2 linked regions of the Alligator mississippiensis genome follow. The protein of the gene in region 1 binds, or shares a complex with, the protein of each later gene. Links are inferred from orthologs where the notes say so. Each region holds a gene or a part of one and is shown on either strand. Other genes may lie near its edges.

Region 1 (10,410 bases):
GCAAGAGGGGGAAGTATTTTTTTTGCCTGTGATTGCTCTCGCTTTTCTTTTGCTTCACTTATTTTTTTTTATTTTGTCAGCTCCAACAATAGACCCATTTTGACGTTTGAGGAACGAAAGAGCTTTACTTAATATTTTTGTCTCCTCTGCAAAAGGCAAAACTAATTTCCAAGTAGGAGAAGGCTTTCCAGGAATATAAAATAAATTAGAAAGACAAGTTCTTGTGATCCCTTCTGCTTGTGTTGAGACCACAAATATCTAGAAATTATTCAAATTTGATCTACATCTAAAAGAAAGTGGTGCCTGCTGACAGCAAGGAAGGGGCGCTAGTTATTTTAGGTCTGAACTGGATAGAGTCACAAAACCTATCTGTTTGTGTGTTTTTACACTTAAGAAAGGGTATTTAAGAAAGCCTGAAGTGCTCTCAGGGCGCACTGATTAATGAGGAATAGCTCCTTACAAGTCTATTACTCCAAACTCGTACCATACACAAAACCTCAGCAATCTCACAATATTGCTTTTGGTTAAACAATATTACTATATTGCTTAGGACCCCTGATCATAGACCAAGATCCTATGGATGCCCCAAAGAGACAGTCCCTCCAAAAAACTTGCAATCCAACAGACAGCAACAGATTAGCAGGACTGTCGCATTTCCTATGCACTTGTGAAGTTACAGAATATTATTCTGCCTCAACATACCAGGTTTTGCAACAGCGTAGGCTTGATGAAAATGGGGTAACATTACCGTTACAGATGAAGCAAAAAGCCTTAGGGAGCATCTGAGTCTAGTGTCAATGATGTCGTGGGCAGCATAAAACTTAATTTTTTTTAAATGATGTTTTCCCCTTATCTCTATGCTTCTAAAGGTCCTGCACCAATCTGAACTGTCACTAGCTTTGTTCACTGGGTTCATAGCTTTTTATACAGCTGGCATGCCCCAGAAAAGTAAACATATAAAATATTTTATCCCTGTTTAAAAAGTACCACTCTCCTGGTTTAATGCAATTAAGTCAGCTGGAGAGAAATTCCGTGAAGGAGCAGGTATCATTCACTGCCCAACACATTTCATAGCTTCTCATGGACATCTGTGAAATTGGATGCATACAGCCAAAACCAAAAACAGCAGCATTATATCCACAGATGCGTCTATTGCTTTTTTCCTTCCCTCACAATATAACCTGCACACCTGAAACTTGAGATGCATTATCGCAGGATGCTTTAAAAAGCAGAATGGTTTTTACAGCTTGTGTTAAGTGCGACTCTCTCAATCTGAGCTGCCAGCGTTTCACATGCCTTGAGGACTGAGAAGGTAAATACCCTTTTCTGGCGCACTGGTTGAGGAGTTAGGCCATCACATGCAGCAGTAACCAGCGTTTGAATCTAATGACATTTCAAAGGGCTGTAGACAAATACCACTTGAAACGGGAGAGATTAACTGACACTTTGGACTGTTCATCAGCTGTTCTGATTTAACTTATATCTGTCCATTCTTATATCAGCATAAGCGAAGATAAACCACTATAACTTTAAGCCTCCTTCATTTGAGCTAGAGAGAAAACAAATTTTAAGTTGCAGTTGTTCAGCTCCATTTATACCAATACATAAACAGAAAAATGTAACAGTTTTTATGGCCATGAGAAGCTTCAGGTGCCAATTTGATTCGGAGACTTGGCCTGATTCATCAGCTGAATCTCCTAATTGAATCAGGAGACCAAAAAAAAGGTCTGAATCGATTCAGAAAAGATTCAGAGAGCTTTGGAGATTTAGGCAGTCCCCGCTCACTGCCACAGGGAGCTAGACGATAAGCGGAGAGAGGTGGCATGGGGACCCATCCCCTGCCTGCTCCCCCAGCCCCCCTTTGACCTCCCCCAAGGCTGCCCCACCTGGCCCCAGCTCCTGGTTCTTTAAAGAAAATGTCCTGCACTTATCAGCTATTGCAGTGGCCATTGGGGCTTCTGGGGGTTTGTGGCAGAGCCCCCACGCAGCGTGGGGCATTGGGGACCACCCCCCTGTTTGTTTGTTTTTTAATGACCTGACACTGGGGTGGGCATGGCAGCCATGGGAGGGGACTGGGGCTCATGGCAGAGCCTCCCACACAGTACGGGGCAGCAGGGATTGCCCCCCTGCCTGGCAGCAGCCAGCGAGTGGGGGCTTTTTAAGAGCCAGGATGAGCTAGGATGCTGGGGCTGGGAGAGTGGGTAGGGGATGGGGGCTCATGACAGAGCCCCCCACCCATCATCGGGCAGTGGGGAGCAGCAGGGATCAACCCCCTGCCTGGCAACAGCTGGTGAGTGCCCTGGGCTTTTTTTTTTTTTTTTTTGAAGAGCTGGGAGGCTGGGGCCAGGCAGGGCAGCCATTGACAGGGCTGGGAGAGCCGGGGAGGGGGGGGGGGAGCGGCGGCAGCAGCTGTTTGATTCAGATGCCAATTTGATTCAGGTGATTTGGGCAGTGATTCAAATCACTGTCCCCTGAATCGGCTGAATCCGAAGCGACAGGCCAACAGTTAAATATGAACCACATACACCAGAATAACTTGTATATTAGTTTGCACTTTTCAAACTTCAGTGTGAACAACCTTTACAATATCTGCTGGCTTTTTCCTATATCAGCCACTACAGAACAACCTGACATGCCTCTTCCCAGCAAACTGAATGGCTACTGTCGAGTAAGCAAAAGAAAGGCAATCAGAGACCTCTGGATTCACTCCCTGGATCTGTGGCATACAGTGGTTAGAGAGAAGAGAACATCAAAATGATTTAGATATTCTGAAAGACAGGATGGTGTAATGGTAGGACTGAGATATACCATTTTAGGCACTGTTCTGGGAAGTGATCTTAAGTGTTCTGTTAACGTTTTGAGAAAATGGGAAGATGAGAATGTTCAGAAACTGATTACTTCCACCTCTTTTTTTAAGTTAGTGTTGGCTGACAGCATTGATAATTTTTACCACAGTTACCACTGATAATTTTTTACCAGGTGCCACAGGAACTAGAAGGGTATACAGAAGAGAGAATGCTTTAACTTCTGGTCTCCTCTTACCCAGATTAGGAAGCTCCCTGTCCCCAGGTTCATAGTGGGCAGGGAACTTTAGTGAATGGGATAAATGACCAAAGTCAGCCTCATTTTTCAGCTGCCCTTGAAACGAAATAATATAAATTCCATTATCACTTTGTATCATCAAGTAAGATTCAAGTGGTTCAGACTGGTACATGTTTGCGATTTCCAGCTGAGAAGTTGTGTCACACCAGCAACCAATAACTGATGCACAAAATGCAAACAGCAAGAACGTGACAAAAGGACAGATCCCAGGGCATTTTAGATTTCTTGATAAAAAGACTACAAAGGAGGAGGAAAAAAAGTCAAATATGCCCAAGAAAAGATGGCAGGCACTTAGTTTCCCCAAAGATTATTATCTCTCCAAGAGCATCACGTTATATAATAGAGGGCACACCCCTCCCCCCCTTAAGGTAACCTGATCAAGAATTATAATCAATTTTGATTTTACTAATGCTTAAATACCCAGTATTCACCACTCTTGTGAAACTGGAACTCTCTCATAAAACCTTAACAATGGCACAAATCCTGATGCACCACATCATCATGTATGTACTCCTTGAGGTACCAGTCATCTGAATTCAGCATGGTGCAACAGATTCTTAACATTTAAATACGTGACTGCATCCGTCTTTACATAGTGAAGAACTTGACACTGAAATCCCCCCCACATCTTTGCAAGTTGTAAAGGTTGCACCTTATAATCCAAGAGAGCGTATTAAGAACAGCTTCTTAGTTTGCTTGATCTGTGCAAGATACCGTGTGTAAGAGATTATTTTACCATATATAGTTTCCTCTTCATAGCATTGTGGTTGAAATGACTTCTCTCACTTCCTACTGAGTCATCAAGTGGTAAGAACATGCAGGCTAAAGATATTCCTTTTAAACAAAAATAAGAACACCATCTACATCTGCTCACAAACCTGTTTTAATGACAAGTTTCATACTGAACAATCTTATGTCTCCCTGGTAAAATACTGTTATGCAACTCAGACAAAAGAATTCTAAATATAATTAGGACAAAATTCCAAGCCTACAGTAATTTGCCATTTGCCCTAGAAAAGCACAGAACATGCAGCTTAAATGTTCTAGATTTTAAAATGCTTCTATGGAATTTCTCAAAGTTCTTCCTATATCACGTGTCATGAGAATACACTTATGATGCTCTTTGTAAAACAAAAACAAAAAAAAGATTGCAATCTGACTGAGGCTGCATTTAACATTAGATGAACAAAAGGTCTGCAATAAGTATATATAAAACTTAAGTTGAAAATACTATAATTTAAAGTATGATCTATAGCTATACAGGTTTCCCTCTCCAACCATGGGGGTTAGGTTCCTGAAAGTTTCTGTGGTTGGCAAAACTGGCAGGGCTGGGGGAACAGGGGCTGTGGGTGGGGGGTGAGGAGCACCAGCAAGGCTGGCCGGGGGGGGGGAGGGGGGGGGTGTAGGGTTGGGGGGGGAGTGAGAGTCACAAGCAGGGCCAGGGGCATGGGGGGTATTTTCCAACTGCATCCCCCAGCTTCTCTAAAGCATGGATAATCAAACCGTGGTTGGTGAGGGAAACCTGTACTATAATTTGAAAATAGTTCTTGTTTATATGGTCAAATCCTTGGGTTCATTAGGCAATTTTAAAATTCTAATAATGGTGCTGTTGCTTGCTTCAGGAGCATTCAATCCCTGGCCTATGGGCCACATTTAAACCCTGGTGCCATGTTAGCCAGCCTGCAGGACCCCCTGTGGGTCCAAAAATTTGGTGGCAACAAAGTAGTGGCCAAATTTTCCATGAGGAGCCCTGCATGCTGATTTAGGCATATACAGCAGCGTGGGGCCCAATCCTAATGTATGTGGTCAGGCAGGGATGACACAGGGGCCATGCAAGTCTGTATATGACCCAATCCAGGTGTGTGGGCTGGGCAGAGGTACTGTAGGGCCCAATCCTGGTGCAGGGGACCATGACCAAGCCCTACACCACTCATTTGATCCATTGGACCAAAAGACTGAGCATCACTGCCTTACATAGCTCAGAAAAAATATTAGTAATAATTATTCTAAAACAGCAAACTACTTTTTTCTTTATAATAAATAAAGATGACCTAAAGATTCCATGCCCTATCACTATTAAATAGAAAATTATTTCTTTTCCTTAAGCACTTTCTTAGGGAACTTGGCTATTTATTGAGAGTTGTCAAGTCTTAAAATAGCAGTGTTGAAACAGCAGCAAAGATGCACTGTGTCTCATGTGCTCCTTAGCTTTCAGCATTATATATTTAAGGGGAAGGAGTACTTTAAAAAAAAAAAAAAAGAAAGTCTGAATAAAAATTACTTCCCCAATTGCCTGATGCAAAAGTTCTTCCTCCCTTGGTAATGTCAGTTTCTTTAGTTCTCTAAATGTTCCCAAGAAGGAGAAGGGACCTAGCAAGGCTACAATACCATCATCCAATAACTGCAGAGGTGCTAAACCAGTGGTTTTCAACCTTTTGTTCATTTGCGGACCCCATAACAATTTAGAATGGATGTGTGGACCCCTCCGAATTGTAAGTGTGGGTATTCACGTACATTTAATTGAGTACAGTCATCTTCTGTGGACCCATCAGGCCGCAGGATCCCAAAACGGCCGGATCCTTTCCCACCACCCAACGACCCCGCTCGCAGGCCCGACCCTCGCCCCCTCTTTGTCCCCGCCGCCGGCCGCAGGCGGGCGCGGAAGTGGCGGGGAAGGAACACCGCCCTCCACGCCCGTGCGCCCCGCCCCACTCCCGCCTGCCCGGCCCCGAGGAGCCCCGCCTTGCGTTACAGCCCGGGGGGGGGGAAGCAGTGCCGCCACGGCGGGGTAACCACGGAGCGGGGGTGGGGCAGCGGGGCTGGGGCCTCAAGGCGCCGCGATACAGCGGCGGGGGTGGGGTAGCCCTGGGCGGGGACGGGAGCCGGAGCCCCGGCAGGAAGCAGGCCGCGCTACCACGAGAGCCGAGCCGGGCCGGGCCCCGCCACTCACCCCGGTGCCGTTGTCACAGACCACCACCTTCCTGCCCAGCGTGTCCATGTCCGCGCCCGGCCAATCGCCCCACTCAACCGCCGGCCTCGCACACACCGGAAGCCACCGCTTCTAGCTCCGCCCTTGGCGCGCCGTGACTGACAGGCCGCCGCCAGCCAATCAGCGCTCTGCCCGTCGGTTTTCCCCCTCTCTCCCACCTTTTTTTTTTTTTTTTGCCGGTCGGCATGTTCGCCCCCTCCCCCCACTCCACGAGGCGTTGCCATGGCGGCGGCCGCGGGCACTTGGGCCTTCTCACTGCCCGCCCTGCGCAAGATGCGGGAGTTGCTGTTGCGAGGCGCGGACGCCACGGACTGCGTGCAGGAAGCCATGGCAGGTGAGGGGAGACCCCGTGCAGCAGCGCTGAGGGGTTAACACCTGGTTGTTGTTTGGTTTTTTCCCCTTTAAAAAGCAATGGGAGCTGGACTTGTGGGGATGGGCCGCGCGGGGTCGGAGGAAAGCCCCACTGGACGCCGCCCGCTCCTGGGAAGGAAGGAGGCGCAGGCGCAGCGGGAGGGGCCGGGCGCGCCGCACGGGCGGGACGTGGGAGCGCTCCACGGGCGCGGACAGACGTTAACGACCCGAGAGTGAAGCGCTTGGAGGGGAGCGGCTCCGGGAAGTCAAGTGGCTCCCTCAGCTTTACCTGGCTAGAAATGCTGCTGCTAAGTGCATGGTTTTAAGCTTGGAGTGGAGCAGGGGTCAAAAGTGGGGGGCACAGATGCACTAATACACCCCCCCCCACCCCCCCTTTGGATCTGCCCCTGATTCCTAAGAGAAACCCTGAGTTTTCAAGCCAGCGGTTTTAAATCTGTTGTGTCCTGCTGGGGGCTCTCCAAAGGCTTCAGCTCAGCGGCTGTGGAAACATGAGTGAAAATGAAGAGCTGGCATTTTCTGAATGTTGCCCTGAGTCTGGGAAGGGTGAGAGCCCCTGCTCTGCGTGCATCCCAGCATAGTTTGTTTGTCTCGTGACCTTGCATCCATCAACACAAACTTAAGGCACATTGTGTATAAAAGTGGCAGGACTTCAAGTGTCTGCCCTCATGGAGTTAAAAAAATACATGGTCAAGTACCCTGTACTGTTTTGGGGCAGTTGTTACTTTTCCAGGCTGACTGGAGCCCCCATCAGTCCCCTTCCCTTGCCAGTTTCTGTCCCCTTCTGAGTAAACAGGTGTTTATTTCTTTAAAGAAACAGACAGACAGAGCTCTTATCGAGTTTCCTGTCTTTTTGGCCCAGAACTGCTTTGCTTTTCAACTGCTTTGCTTGTGTATCCAAATTTCCCATCAACTGAAATGAGGCTACAGAAATGCTGTTCGGCTTTTTGGATAATTCCTGTATCGCTGGTGCTACCTAATGTTAGAACAAATGTCTTTTACTTCAATGTAGCCAAAGGCACTTGAGCACAATTCCTTTGTTTATGGCAGGGCTGTCCAGCTGGCAGTCCATGGGCTGCACATGGTTTGGGAAGGGTTCACAAGCAGCCCGCAGACCAGGGCCAGACACAGGCATGGGTGAACTGGGCAGCTGCCCGGGGCTTGGACAGATATGGGGCCCAAAATGGTAATTTTTCCCCGTTTTCCTGTTGTTGTTGTTGTTATCGCTGATGAAGAGTTTGCCCGGGGCCACAATGAGTCTAGGTATGGTGCTACCCCAGACTTCCACTAGGTCGTTGCTGCCCCTGTTATATCAGATGGGATCTTGGGGCTTCCCCTCCCCCAGTTTCCACTGCCTGACCTACCCCCAGGGGGGACAAAGGACATGATACAGTCCAGCTTAACCTTCCCCCACAACCTGTGGTGTCAGGGGAGCTAGCAGCCCAGAGCCCTGTTGTGACAAAGTGCCTCCAAAAAGTCCACAGGGAGTTGTCGGTGAGGCACGGCACTGCATAATGGGGTGGGGGTGCCCGCTTCCCCATTGTAACAGGATGTGGGGTGCCTATCTGTAGACATGGGGTACAGCCTGGGGGATGTAGGTCACTCTTTCATATGCGTATGTCAGTCCCCCATAAATAGTGTTCGTTTTGACCCTTCTGTACTGTTCAATTTCTTAATGGGATTTTGGGAAGCACTCGGATTTTTAAAAAATGGAAACTTGGGTCTAACGCTTAACTATTTTTAAACTTTACTTATCTCCAGCTATTGAAAATGATGAGGAGACAGGGAGTTATGTAGTAGGACGAGGAGGCTACCCAAACAAAGATGGATTAATCCAGTGTGATGCTGCTGTAATGGAAGGGCATTCTTGTCATTTTGGAGCAGTAGCGGCTCTGTCTGGGTACGTAATGTGCTTTAATCTACCTGCGGCAACATGCATAGATTTTTATAAGTATGTGGAAAGGTTTCATGTCCATAAAAGTGAGGGATTTGCATTGCTGGATAAAGCACAATAAGCAATTGCAGTGGAAGCCTCCTATCAAGCCTGAAATATTAACTAAACTGAAATCATCTGACTTGTTTTACACTGTGGTCCTGTAGATAGGACACTGGTTTGATAGGCACAAGAGTTGGGCTCTATTGCCTGGTCTGCAGTTGACTAACATACACAACCTTGGATGAGTCATTTGACCTGGCAATTTCTTTGTCTACAAACTTATCCCACAAACAAAGACTTATCCCACATTTGTAAAATGCTTGAGGTAAGGGGATGAAAGTGCTACACACGTTTATTTTCCATTGGGTCATATCCTGCAACTAATTTTCATGCAAGCTTCCAGTAATTTTCAATGATTGTTTTATAATGGCAAAGTATGGTCCAACTGAGGTAAGCTAGATTTCCAACCTCATGTGCTTAATGTAAAACACTAATGCATTAACTAATACAAGTGCTGTATATTAACTAGGTCATTTTAAATATGCAAATGATCTTTTGTCCATCTTAGTAACATTGCCCCCATGACTTTCGTAAATGACAGTTTTTCCAGTAATTGGGCTACTAAGGAAGAAAGCCATGCTCTAATTCATAACAGAGTAATTGAAAACATTTTTGTGTAAAGACGGTAATGTTGAAACCTGGCATGTAATACACCAGTAACCAATTAATTTTGTTAATCTGACACAGCAAGTAAGATTAGACATCAACAGGATGCAAGTTCTGTAATGGAAATAGGTCTGTTAAGGAGGACCTCGGGTGTATAGTACAGCATAGCAATTAAAATCCATTGCTATATTTGGTGCTAACTACTGCTGATGGTTATTGAGTGGTCTTATGGGATTCTTATGTTTCGTTATAGGACAGGTATAATGCAGGAAGGAATGTGTTCTGAACTGAATGACATTTTAAAGTTGGGTTTTTTTTACCAGTTTAATTCAGCTGGAGCCTGACTTCACATTCACAAGTGTATTTAAAATATGAGAAGAAAAAGAATGAACACATCTGTAATAGGAAAATAGGGATGTGTAACTTATAATGAGTGCAGCTCTGTTGTTAAAAATGATTCAAGTAGTAAGGAGTGTCAGGAATTGCTACAGTGATAAAGATGCAGAATAGGTTTAGACAACCCAGAATAAAAAGGGTCTGAGCTTTCTCTATGCTTAGTAGTGTTTCCACTGCTACACCATCAGTAGAGAATAATGGGTCCTCAATTTTAACCAAGTAACTGCATAAAAATCCACGAGCCCTGTTAAAGAAACAATGTATTTTTTGCGGAATCCTACTAATAGGTGGCTTAGTTGAACTCTAAATGATATGAAAGGAACTGACAGCTCTTTTATGGTCAAAGGATCTAGAGCAGATAAGTCTGTCAAAGAAAAACTTATAAACAGGAAAATTTAGGGGAAACACAGTACAGCACTAATTTGGACTGTCTAGGTTGAGTATATCCTGTTCAGACTGCTTTAAGGTTTTAAAAAAGTTCCAGTAAAAAGATATTTACTAACAAATTATGCTCTCCCTGTGCTTGGAATCTAATTGGTTTCTTGTTGGTTTTAACTTCCTGTATTTTTGGCACTTGTTTTTGTTGTTACACTGAGTTGAGAAAAAATAATCAGTACATAAAAATTCAATAAAAGTGTAAATCTTCCCTTTTGCAAAAGAGTTGGAACACCACTAGCTGTAGCTCGTAAAGTCATGGAGAGAAATACCCACAGCTTCCTGGTTGGAGATGGTGCTGCGGCCTTTGCAAGAGAGCAGGGCTTCATGGTAGAGGACAATGAAAGTATGATGACTGAACGGAGTGCAGAAGTTTATAAGGTACTGTCTACAACCAGTATACCTGATGTGAGTGGACTTTCATATGAAGATGTCTGTAGTTTATCTTGCTGGGCATTCATATGGAGATCATGCTAATATGGGCAGGAATTACCCATACACATAAAAGAGAGAACAA
Region 2 (9,322 bases), on another chromosome or scaffold:
AGCTCTCTTTTGGTTTTCATTTTCATTTACAATTCTTGCTTGTAAACATCTTAGGCATGTGAAAAAGCTTTCCACTCTGTTCACCCTCTTTTCTGGTAACATGTAGCATTTGCTTTGTCCAGCAGAATTTGAAATATTCAGTGCTGGCTCTCCCAAAAGGAAATAAATTACAGCATTTGCTAAATAAAACCTGTAGTTCATGATACCAACAAAAAGGACATCCTGAATGTGTCTTAGAACATGTGCAACCTTATATGACCCGAAATATAGGAGCATAGGGGGAATATTTGTTTTCAGCTGTGAAATTTTGAATAATCTAAATCTTAGCTGGGAATTAAAGTAGTCTTCAGAGTTGATAAAACAGAGATGAAGACTGACATTCCGAGTCAGACTTTTTGGCAAATTGAGGCATTAGAAATAGATGCGTTACTATGTGACAAGTTGACTTGCTTTCTACTTATAAATTCGTACTTTCAATTTACAGGGTGACTTCGTAGACAGAGGTTACTATAGTCTCGAGACTTTCACCTACCTTCTTGCACTAAAAGCTAAATGGCCTGATCGTATCACGCTTTTACGGGGCAATCATGAAAGCAGGCAGATAACACAAGTGTACGGATTTTATGGTAAGACTGGTTAACAAGGCAGATCTTCCTTAGGGACATCTGATTTTTTTTTTTCCTGCTAGTGTATATAGCTTTCCTGTTGGCAGAGTGGGTTGTGGAAATGGGGTCCAGTCCCTGATCTTCCATAAAATTTTAAGCAGGTCTTCAGCTTTATTCCAATTTCACGGATACGTTGTATGTTAATCACTTGAGAATGCCGAGGCGTAATATTTGAAGTACTCTGGTATCTTGTAAAGTCCTATTAGAAAGCAAAATTAATATTGAGATTCTCATTAGACCTGGTTTTATTCTGTGTTGTCATAGTAACAAAAATGATTTACCTGGTAAGCTGTGAGTAGGGCAGTAAATGGACATTAAGGGATAGATGTTTCACCACTATTAAGCAACAGAGCCGCCACTTAAATATTGAGGGAGTAGATGCGCCTAGAAGTGACATCTCAGTTGCTGAAGTGACGGAGCCTGCAGCAGAGCCTTCAGGCACTAATAGCTGTTTCGGACAATGTGTAGTCCATAACGGGATGCATGTGACAGCAAGGACAAATGGGTCTGAATTTTGACATAGTGGCCTAAGATGGCAAAGGAATCCTTGCTTGCTAGGTACAGGTTGCCTAGAGCTGTTTTAAACCTAGTTCATTACAGCTCTACTGCAGGCTGTGTCTCCTCTCAATTTGGGCAGGAAAAGGATATTATGTAATTCAGCTGCCTGTGCAGATGGGCACACTGTGATCTTGTGGCAGTTAAAGGCAGTAGCAGAGGCTGTTCAGAAAGGGTTGTCTCAGCTTCTTACAGTGACTCTGTACCATAAATGTGGAAATAAAAGTTTCCCTTAAACAAAACACCCTCTCCAGTCTGTGCTCTGATGTGGCTCCTCTGGCAGATTTTGGAACTGGCTGTGGAGTTGAGGAATCAAAGCTGCTGTAGCTTGCTTCTTTTGGTCTGTATAGGCCAGATGCTTTTGATCAGTCCAGTATCTGACTTGTTTTCACTGAATAGCAATTGAGGCAGTCCAGTTAAGGCTTTTTTCAAAGTGAGCTTGAGTGGGTTGTGGGAAAGGGAGAAAACACTTTCAGTTATGTTGGCGCAGGGTCCAAGTCTCTGTATTGCCTGAGCATACAAGACACGATAAAACAGAGGCATAGAAGAAGCTGCAGATGGCTATGGGAAACATGCCTTCTCACTGTGGTCCAGTCAGTGTTCCTGCGTGATGGAGTGACCTATATTTAACTGTTTGAAATGTCAAGTTCTAGTTGAAATTTTCAACGGTTTTTTTTTCCACATTCAGGCAGTAAAACAGGTTCTCTCTTTAACAGATGAGTGCCAAACCAAATATGGAAATGCTAATGCTTGGAGATACTGTACCAAAGTGTTCGACATGCTCACAGTAGCAGCTGTAAGTTTTATGCTCATTTTGAGAAATATTAAGCATGGCTTGTTTCTTTAGACATCTCTCTCAAGCAATTGAGAGTAGTCTTTCACTGTTCCCTTGCAGTGTGCTGTGTCAGATTGAAGGGAGAAGTAAGGCTGTGCCATACCTGACACCGTGTCCTTTTTCCTTCAGTTAATAGATGAGCAGATTCTCTGTGTACATGGTGGCCTATCTCCCGACATCAAGACACTGGATCAGATTCGAACCATTGAACGTAATCAAGAAATTCCTCACAAAGGAGCCTTCTGTGACCTGGTCTGGTCTGACCCAGAGGATGTTGACACCTGGGCAATTAGTCCCCGAGGAGCAGGCTGGCTGTTTGGTGCAAAGGTCACAAATGAGGTAAAAGCATCGTGAAGTAGAATGTAGAAGTGCTGACACCTGGTTAGCTAAAATGTTTACCCTCAAGCGTGTGCAGGTAGAGTTGTATGATTTCCCCGTGTACAGTGCAGCTGTCTCAGACAGAACAGTAATTCACTTAAAGTTTTGTACACCATTGCAGTTTACTATTGGACAGTATTAAGTACTAGACGTACCTCACTAAGAGCCTTTCCAGCTTTTAAAACCAGTGGTATTCCCACTGCCAAGTACGCAAAGTGGTGTTTTCCTTCTCAAAATGAGCTGTCTTAGCTTCTGCTTCTGTTACTGTTGGTTATGATTGTTTACCCTTTGTTAACTAGTTCCTTAACCAGTCTCTCAGTGGCATGAAAAAGGATACCTATCTCATTATCTCAGAGGAGTCTGAGGCACAACTAAGGAGTCTTTAATGAATTTTATCTACAGTAAAACTAGCAGTGATTCCTGCTGACAATTATGTGCAGGTTTGCAAAGCGAACCTCTTCATTAAGTGGGATACTTGTTTGCCCTTAAGATACGTTGCTCTAAGTGGCAGAGCTGCCGTATAAAGAGCATCTCTGACTCTTGCATACGTTTACACGCCTTTTCTTTCTTTCTGTTACAGTTTGTTCATATCAACAACTTAAAACTCATCTGCAGAGCGCATCAGCTAGTGCATGAAGGCTATAAATTCATGTTTGATGAGAAATTGGTAACAGTATGGTCTGCGCCGAATTACTGCTACCGCTGCGGAAATATTGCATCAATCATGGTCTTTAAAGATGTAAATACAAGAGAACCAAAGCTATTCCGTGCAGTTCCAGACTCAGAACGTGTAATTCCTCCTAGAACAACTACACCGTATTTCCTTTGAGATCTTTTCCCGTCCTGCTGTTTCCCCCCATTCCCTTGTACTATCCCTCTACAATATACTTTTTATTGAGCACTTTGCTGCTGAAATGCTGCCTCTTGCCTTTTTTTATTTTTAAATTATCTAAATTTATTGTGTATGATGGAGTCTGTAGCGAATATACCTTGATTTCCCCACCCTGGATCAAATTGAGAATGCTTGTGAAATGTCCTCACCATTTACACTGCTGCATATAGTTCTTGTATATTTCTGGTTGTAGGTGAAATGTTTTCCCTCTTTAAAAAAAAAAATAAAAAAAAGTCATAAATGCATTGGGACTATTTGGATAGCCCACTATGTCATTCAACGTTTTGTTTGGTAAGTTTTAAGAAATTTCAGCAGCAAAGTTACCTGGTGTGCACGATGGGACTGTAAATGCGTTGTGTACACATCTCCAAGGCGTAAAACTGAATTTGTCCTTGTTATATCTTGTTTTAAGTGGATATGAAATAAAGTGGTCTAAAGGGCTGTTCCCTCTTGTTTTTTTAGGATTCCAATTAAAATAGAAAGAACGTGCTACAGCTATTGAATTTGTACATTAAAATAATTGTTCTGATTTTTTCAGATACCTTGTATTTTTAATAAAGTCATATCTTAAATGAAATCCACCTCCTAGGTTAAATATTGCAAATAAAAATCCTGCATTGTTGATGTGAACGTCCGTCCTTTTCCGTCTCGAGAGCCGCGTACCCCGTTGGTTGGTTCGCTCGCGGGGAAGCGATCCAGCCACCGCGGCTCTGCTCCGAAACGCGACCGTGCCAAGAGCGGCAGCTGCGTCTTTCTAGGCGTGCGGGTCCCGCGACGTCCCGTTGCCGTTCTCGTGAGCAACCGCAGCTCCTGGCGCGCGAGGCTGGGTCCTGGTCTGGCCCAGGCGGCCTCGTCCACGCACGAAAGACACGACCGAGCTGGTGGCTGGCAGTCGGGGGGCCGTTTTACACGCTAACCGCAGTGTTGCATAGACGTGGCGGCGGGTGACGCGTGTACCGTTACGTGTCGGAGAACCAAAGGGCCCGTGGTGACGTGACACGCCACGCCACGCCACGCCACGCGCTTGGGACCCTGGTTGCAAGCCTGGGGGGGGGGGAGTAGCTTCAGTCCCGGGTAGAAACCTCCATGCCCTTCGCTCCTGTGACAAGTGACGTCGGGGGGCGGTTCTGGGGCCAGCCCTCTGCTCGGGTCGTGACCCGCCCACCCGGAAGTGCCGCCTCGCCTCGCTTCCGGCCCGCCTCTCGCCCTCCCCTTCTGACGGAGCTTCCTGTTCCGGCCGTCCCGGAAGCGGCGCGGCGCGGCGAGGCGAGGCGAGGCGCGGTGCGGCGCGGAGCGGGCCGGGCCGGGTGGGCCGCGCCGCCCCTAGGCCGCCGGCCCGGCATGGCCCGGAACACGCTGTCCTCGCGCTTTCGCCGCCTCGACATCGACGAGTACGACGAGAACAAGTTCGTGGAGGAGCCGGACGAGGCGGCGGCGGCGGCCGAGCCCGACCCCGGCCCCGAGGTGGAGGCGCTGCTGCGGCAATATCCTTCCTTCCGGCGGGCGAGCGGGTTGGGGGCCGGGCCCTCTCCTCTCCTCTCCTCTCCTCCAGTGCCGGGCGAGCAGGCGCCCGGCCGCATCCTCCCAAGGGAAAGGGGCGACCGGGGACCCGGCCTCGAAACGCAGATTCGTTTCTGGTCAACCTAAAACCCCCGCCCCCTCGCTGGGCAGGGCCGCCGCCTCTCGCTGCGCCCAGGCCCGGGCAGGCGGGGACCGGGGGGAAAAGCGCAGGGGTGTAGGTGTAGTTTGCACTGTACGGTTGGAGGGGGGGGGATCCCGCGACGTCCGAAACGGGCTGAGAAGCCGCGGGGGGCCCGGGTCTGTGTCGCGACGCGGACGGGGCTGTTCGTCGCTGCTGGATCTCGCGGCCCGTTACGAACCGCTGCCCCGCTCGTCTCCTGCCTGCGGCCGGTGATCTTGCGAGGTCGCCTCCAGCCCCCGACGCCTGCGAACCGAGGCGGCGCCCGACCCTCGGTTTTTATAGCGGCTGGAAAGGCGCTTGGTTCGTGATTTAGGCACAGCTGCCGGCCGCCCCGGTAAACCACCCAGAATTAATTCGGTCACAAACGGGGGTTGCGAGCGGCGGCGGACGGGGAGCCTCGTATAGGACGAGCCCGTTCCGTCGCCTCGCCCCGTTTCTGAAACCGCCTCCCAAGTAGGACGGCGTGTGTGGAAATATGCCACTTGTGCCAAACTGATGTCAAGGTGCTTAAAATAACTCTGCTGCCGCCGTCTGCGCTGGGACCTAACCCAGATCGCTCAGCAGATGAAAGCGAAGCGGCTCCTCCGCTGCGCGCTCTGGAACGAAGCCTCGTGTCCGCGCGGGGGGGAGAGAGCAGGATCCTAACGACCGGGGAGGGCCGGCGGGAGAGAGAGCGCCTGTAGCCTTCTGCCTCTCGGGTTCATTTTGGGGTTTGCAGATCTCCTTTTTTAAGCACAGATTGATTGGGTGGGAGGGGGGCGTGGAGGAGTGTTTGGTGGCTCAAGAGGCTGATAATTTCCACCCGCAAAAAAGCACATCTAGCTTAGAGATGCTATTTATGTGCCTCGCTGACGTCACCGCTTGGCCTCTTCACTGCAGCTGTGAAAAGGGACTAGTGTGCTGTGGGATTGCCCGAAGGGCTGGATCAAGACCCACCAAGCAGCCCTCGGATGTGGGTTACTCTTAGTGTCTGCTGGATTCAAATCAGCGATAGCAAGGTGAAAAGCACTGGATCTTATTGTCAGTGTTTGGAGCCATCGAGTTCTTAAATAAGATCCCTTCAGTGTAAAATGCTTGGAGTTACTTCAGATGCTCTGATTAGCAGCGAAACGTGTAACATGACTTGATCCTTTTTCCTGATCAGAATTCAGCGGACGCTGTCACTCCGGCCTTATTCCTTGCTAAGTCAGTTCATTCAAGAAGTAATCCTGGCTGAGAGAGTGTCTGGAGGAACACGTCCCTGACTATTACAGGGCAGGCTTGGTTGGTTTGTTTTCTGTGCATGGTTTTGGGTTTGATAGATTGGCAATAGCTTGGTATTCAGGGATGGGCTATAAATAGTTTAATCATCACCCTTCTGTGGCCTTGTATTTTAAGCAGAGGGGAAAGAAAAATAGCTAATCCTTCGAGGCTTCCTGTTAGAGTTGTCAGCAATGCAGACTGCTTCTGGCCATCCTCTGTTCTCGTTATTTGGCATTCTTGGAAGTGAGCAAATCAATTTAAAAAATCCATGTTCCTACCTCCTCCTCCTCCAAGTATGCTGCTGTGTCGCAGTTCCACAGCCTAGTTTATGGGTACTTGAGACCAAGGACTTTCTGCTGTCAGGGCTGTCTGTACATTTTGTAGTGAGTGACAAGGTTTCTGTTTCTGTAACAGTGAAGCCTTGTCAGCTTAACTGACAAAGGATGTTCTGTCAACCTGAACTGCTTTAAAAATTACAAATGAAGAGGAAGTTGACCTTGAAGCAAAATGAATGCTTGCTTGTAATTCATGGTCTGCTGAAGGGCTCTCGCAGTCTTACTTTTGCTACGTGGTTTTGTGGCTTAGACTCATAGAAAAATAGGGCTGGAAGGGACCTCAGGAAGTGTCCGGTCTAACGTCCTGTTCAAAGCACAGTCATCTCTGCCTAAACCATCCCAGCCAAGTATCTGTCTAACCTGCACTTAAAACGTCCAGAGATGGAGATCCCACCCCTGCTCCAGGTAGCCTGTTCCAGAGCGTCACCACGCGCAGTGAGAGACTGCCAGTGTCCAACCTACACTTCCCTTGCTGCAGTTGAGACCAGTGCTCCTTGGCCTGTCCCCTGGAGAAGTCTGTTTGTGGTGGTGATTCCTTTAGAACCTGATTAGCTTTGTAATGGTGTGTGTAACTGCCCAGTAAGCGTAGCAGCTGTCTTGTCCACCTGGCACGTCCTACTACAGTTTGTAGCACAAGAAAATTGCACATTTTCATTTGCAGAGATCGGGATATCAAGTGTTCCTTCCCGTGGGGGATAGTGACAGAAATGCATGCTGTCGTCTTCAGCTCTATTCCTGCAATAGAATACTTTATTCTGTTATATATCTTTGCTTTAGGAGATGTATTTAATCACATCTCCTATGAGGTAGGCCACATTTCTTGTGCTGTGTGTTATCTGAATACTTGGAGGTAACTTTTTTGTTTTTTTAGTTTCTCCAGCTGCCCAGTGGCACACCTGCCACAGCAGAGGGTTGTTAATTCTCAGTGTCTGTCCAAGGTACTTCCATCTCTCCTGGAGATAAGGAGTTGAACTGCCTGACACATCCAAACATATATTATACATCTATTCTATTATGTACCTACTATTTCCCCTTCAGGGCATTTGGATATCTGTCTTTACTGTGGATTTCAAGTTTATATGTCCATGTGTCAGGGTGGAAATAACATCTGAGCTAAAGATCTGTAGTGAAGTCTGAGGTTTTAGTTGTAGATTTTTAATTTTTTTTTATGAACAAATTCCTTTAAGCTCATAAATGGAACTATCACCTTGACAATGATCTTTCCTTCTGGATATGTTATGCTCATGCTTAACTCTGGACATATCTTTTAACATTTGTTTTTCTTCTGACCTTGAAAGCCTAAATCCACTTTGCAAATTCTAGCTGTAGGAGGTGTGGCCCTGATGCTGGATGTGTGTCTTACTCACAGAAAGAATTGGGAAATCTTTCTGGATTGTGTGTTCAGGTTACAAGGTCCCTGAAGAACTAACTCCCTTTGGCTGTTTTAGGATTTTGGTGTCTGTAGAATATTAATTCTGCTCCTCATTAAGTAATGCAATGTTTGCAACGAGTCAGGGTAGCCCAAAGGTCAGGGTGACATTCATCCATTATGGTTAAATCCTGAACGATTGGAAAAAGTAAAGGAGGGTCTGCTGACCTTGACTTGAGTTTCCCGGTGGCTGTCACTTCCTTTCCTCATGATGCACTTGCTGGCATTTTCCTGTTGCACCATCTTTGGAAATCAGCTCTGCTCTGTTATTCCAGAATATGCTATGAAGACATTTGGAGTACTCAGAAGCCTATATTCCTGGTTGTAACTACATTAAAATGAGGGTTAGGATTGTCTTAGCAAAGGGAATGGTTGCTGCAGTTTGTCCTTTCTTCCTGTTTAGCTGCTCTTAGGAGATGGTGATGTGTTGCAAAATCCAGTGCCACGCGTTCTGGACTGTCCCTTCTAGAGTCATTAATAATTAAAGAATAACTAAACGACTTGCATCCTTGACTTGCTGTGCTGCACAGGCGATATGCTCCGAGCTTTCCACATGGCCTTAAGGAATTCTTCGGTTAACACGAAGAATCAAGCAGTAAAGGTAAATGAGGCCTTTGGGCTTTTCCATCCTCTTTCAGTGTTGGCATATGGGTCCCTAGCGATTCGGCAGTGGATTGCTGGGATACTTCAGAACAGTGGCTGCTTTCTCAAAATACGAGTAGCTGGTCATCAGTACCGTAGTGTGGAACTGTTTGTGAACTAATGAACATATGCTATGATTCCCAATTAGTAACACTTCTCATGCCGTATCTGCACCTTTCCTGTGCAACCTTAAAGACAAAAATAATTTTGAGAAGCTTTCCAAGACAATTAGGGCTTCTCTGACAATGTGCACGCAGCGGTATGATGGCAGGTTCATACACAGTCAGAGTCTGTGTGCCACAGTACATTTGATGTCCCACTGGCTCCAGTTCCATGGGTAGGAGGGGGGTAAGAACCAACATGCAGAGACAAACGGCAGGTGAGTCAAAGGGCAGCAGTCCCATGACATGCCAAACTCCTGACACTCAAAAGAGGTAAGGGCTGGCGGGATGTGCCTGAAACCACATCTGTGTGGATTTTGTAATGTGCTATATCAAATATATTTGACCTTAATTGTGGGGAGCTTGCTGCTACAAGCCTGAATCCACTGACCCAGAAAATCCCCTTCACACTTTCTCACAAGGCATGACCGGTGACCTTTGTCACGACTTGTATTTAAAAAAATTGGTTCCAAATGCTCTTCAGTG

What was found.
Region 2: the proteins of ACTR2 (region 1) and ARPC5L are in contact, whole or in part, in a cryo-EM structure (PDB 6YW6), measured with the Homo sapiens proteins. The link is inferred for Alligator mississippiensis from reciprocal best matches to the Homo sapiens genes ACTR2 and ARPC5L. Residues at the interface, in NP_005713.1 of Homo sapiens: Tyr225, Glu263, Phe266, Gln267, Arg319, Lys322, Gln323, Ser338; in NP_112240.1 of Homo sapiens: Arg11, Arg12, Val13, Asp14, Ile15, Asp16, Glu20.

The regions. Positions count from the first base shown.
Region 1 is NC_081824.1:214,970,592-214,981,001, reverse strand, and holds the start of ACTR2 (actin-related protein 2), read right to left. Parts: upstream 3,935-10,410; 5' UTR 3,920-3,934; coding exon 3,839-3,919; intron 1-3,838. Other genes in the region: N(4)-(Beta-N-acetylglucosaminyl)-L-asparaginase, read left to right, coding at 6,314-6,425, 8,222-8,360, 10,118-10,274. UniProt on the Homo sapiens protein: ATP-binding component of the Arp2/3 complex, a multiprotein complex that mediates actin polymerization upon stimulation by nucleation-promoting factor (NPF).
Region 2 is NC_081835.1:66,433,440-66,442,761, reverse strand, and holds the start of ARPC5L (actin-related protein 2/3 complex subunit 5-like protein), read left to right. Parts: upstream 1-4,582; 5' UTR 4,583-4,666; coding exon 4,667-4,810; intron 4,811-8,562; coding exon 8,563-8,634; intron 8,635-9,322. Other genes in the region: PPP6C (serine/threonine-protein phosphatase 6 catalytic subunit), read left to right, coding at 485-626, 1,937-2,016, 2,185-2,394, 3,014-3,262. UniProt on the Homo sapiens protein: May function as component of the Arp2/3 complex which is involved in regulation of actin polymerization and together with an activating nucleation-promoting factor (NPF) mediates the formation of branched actin networks.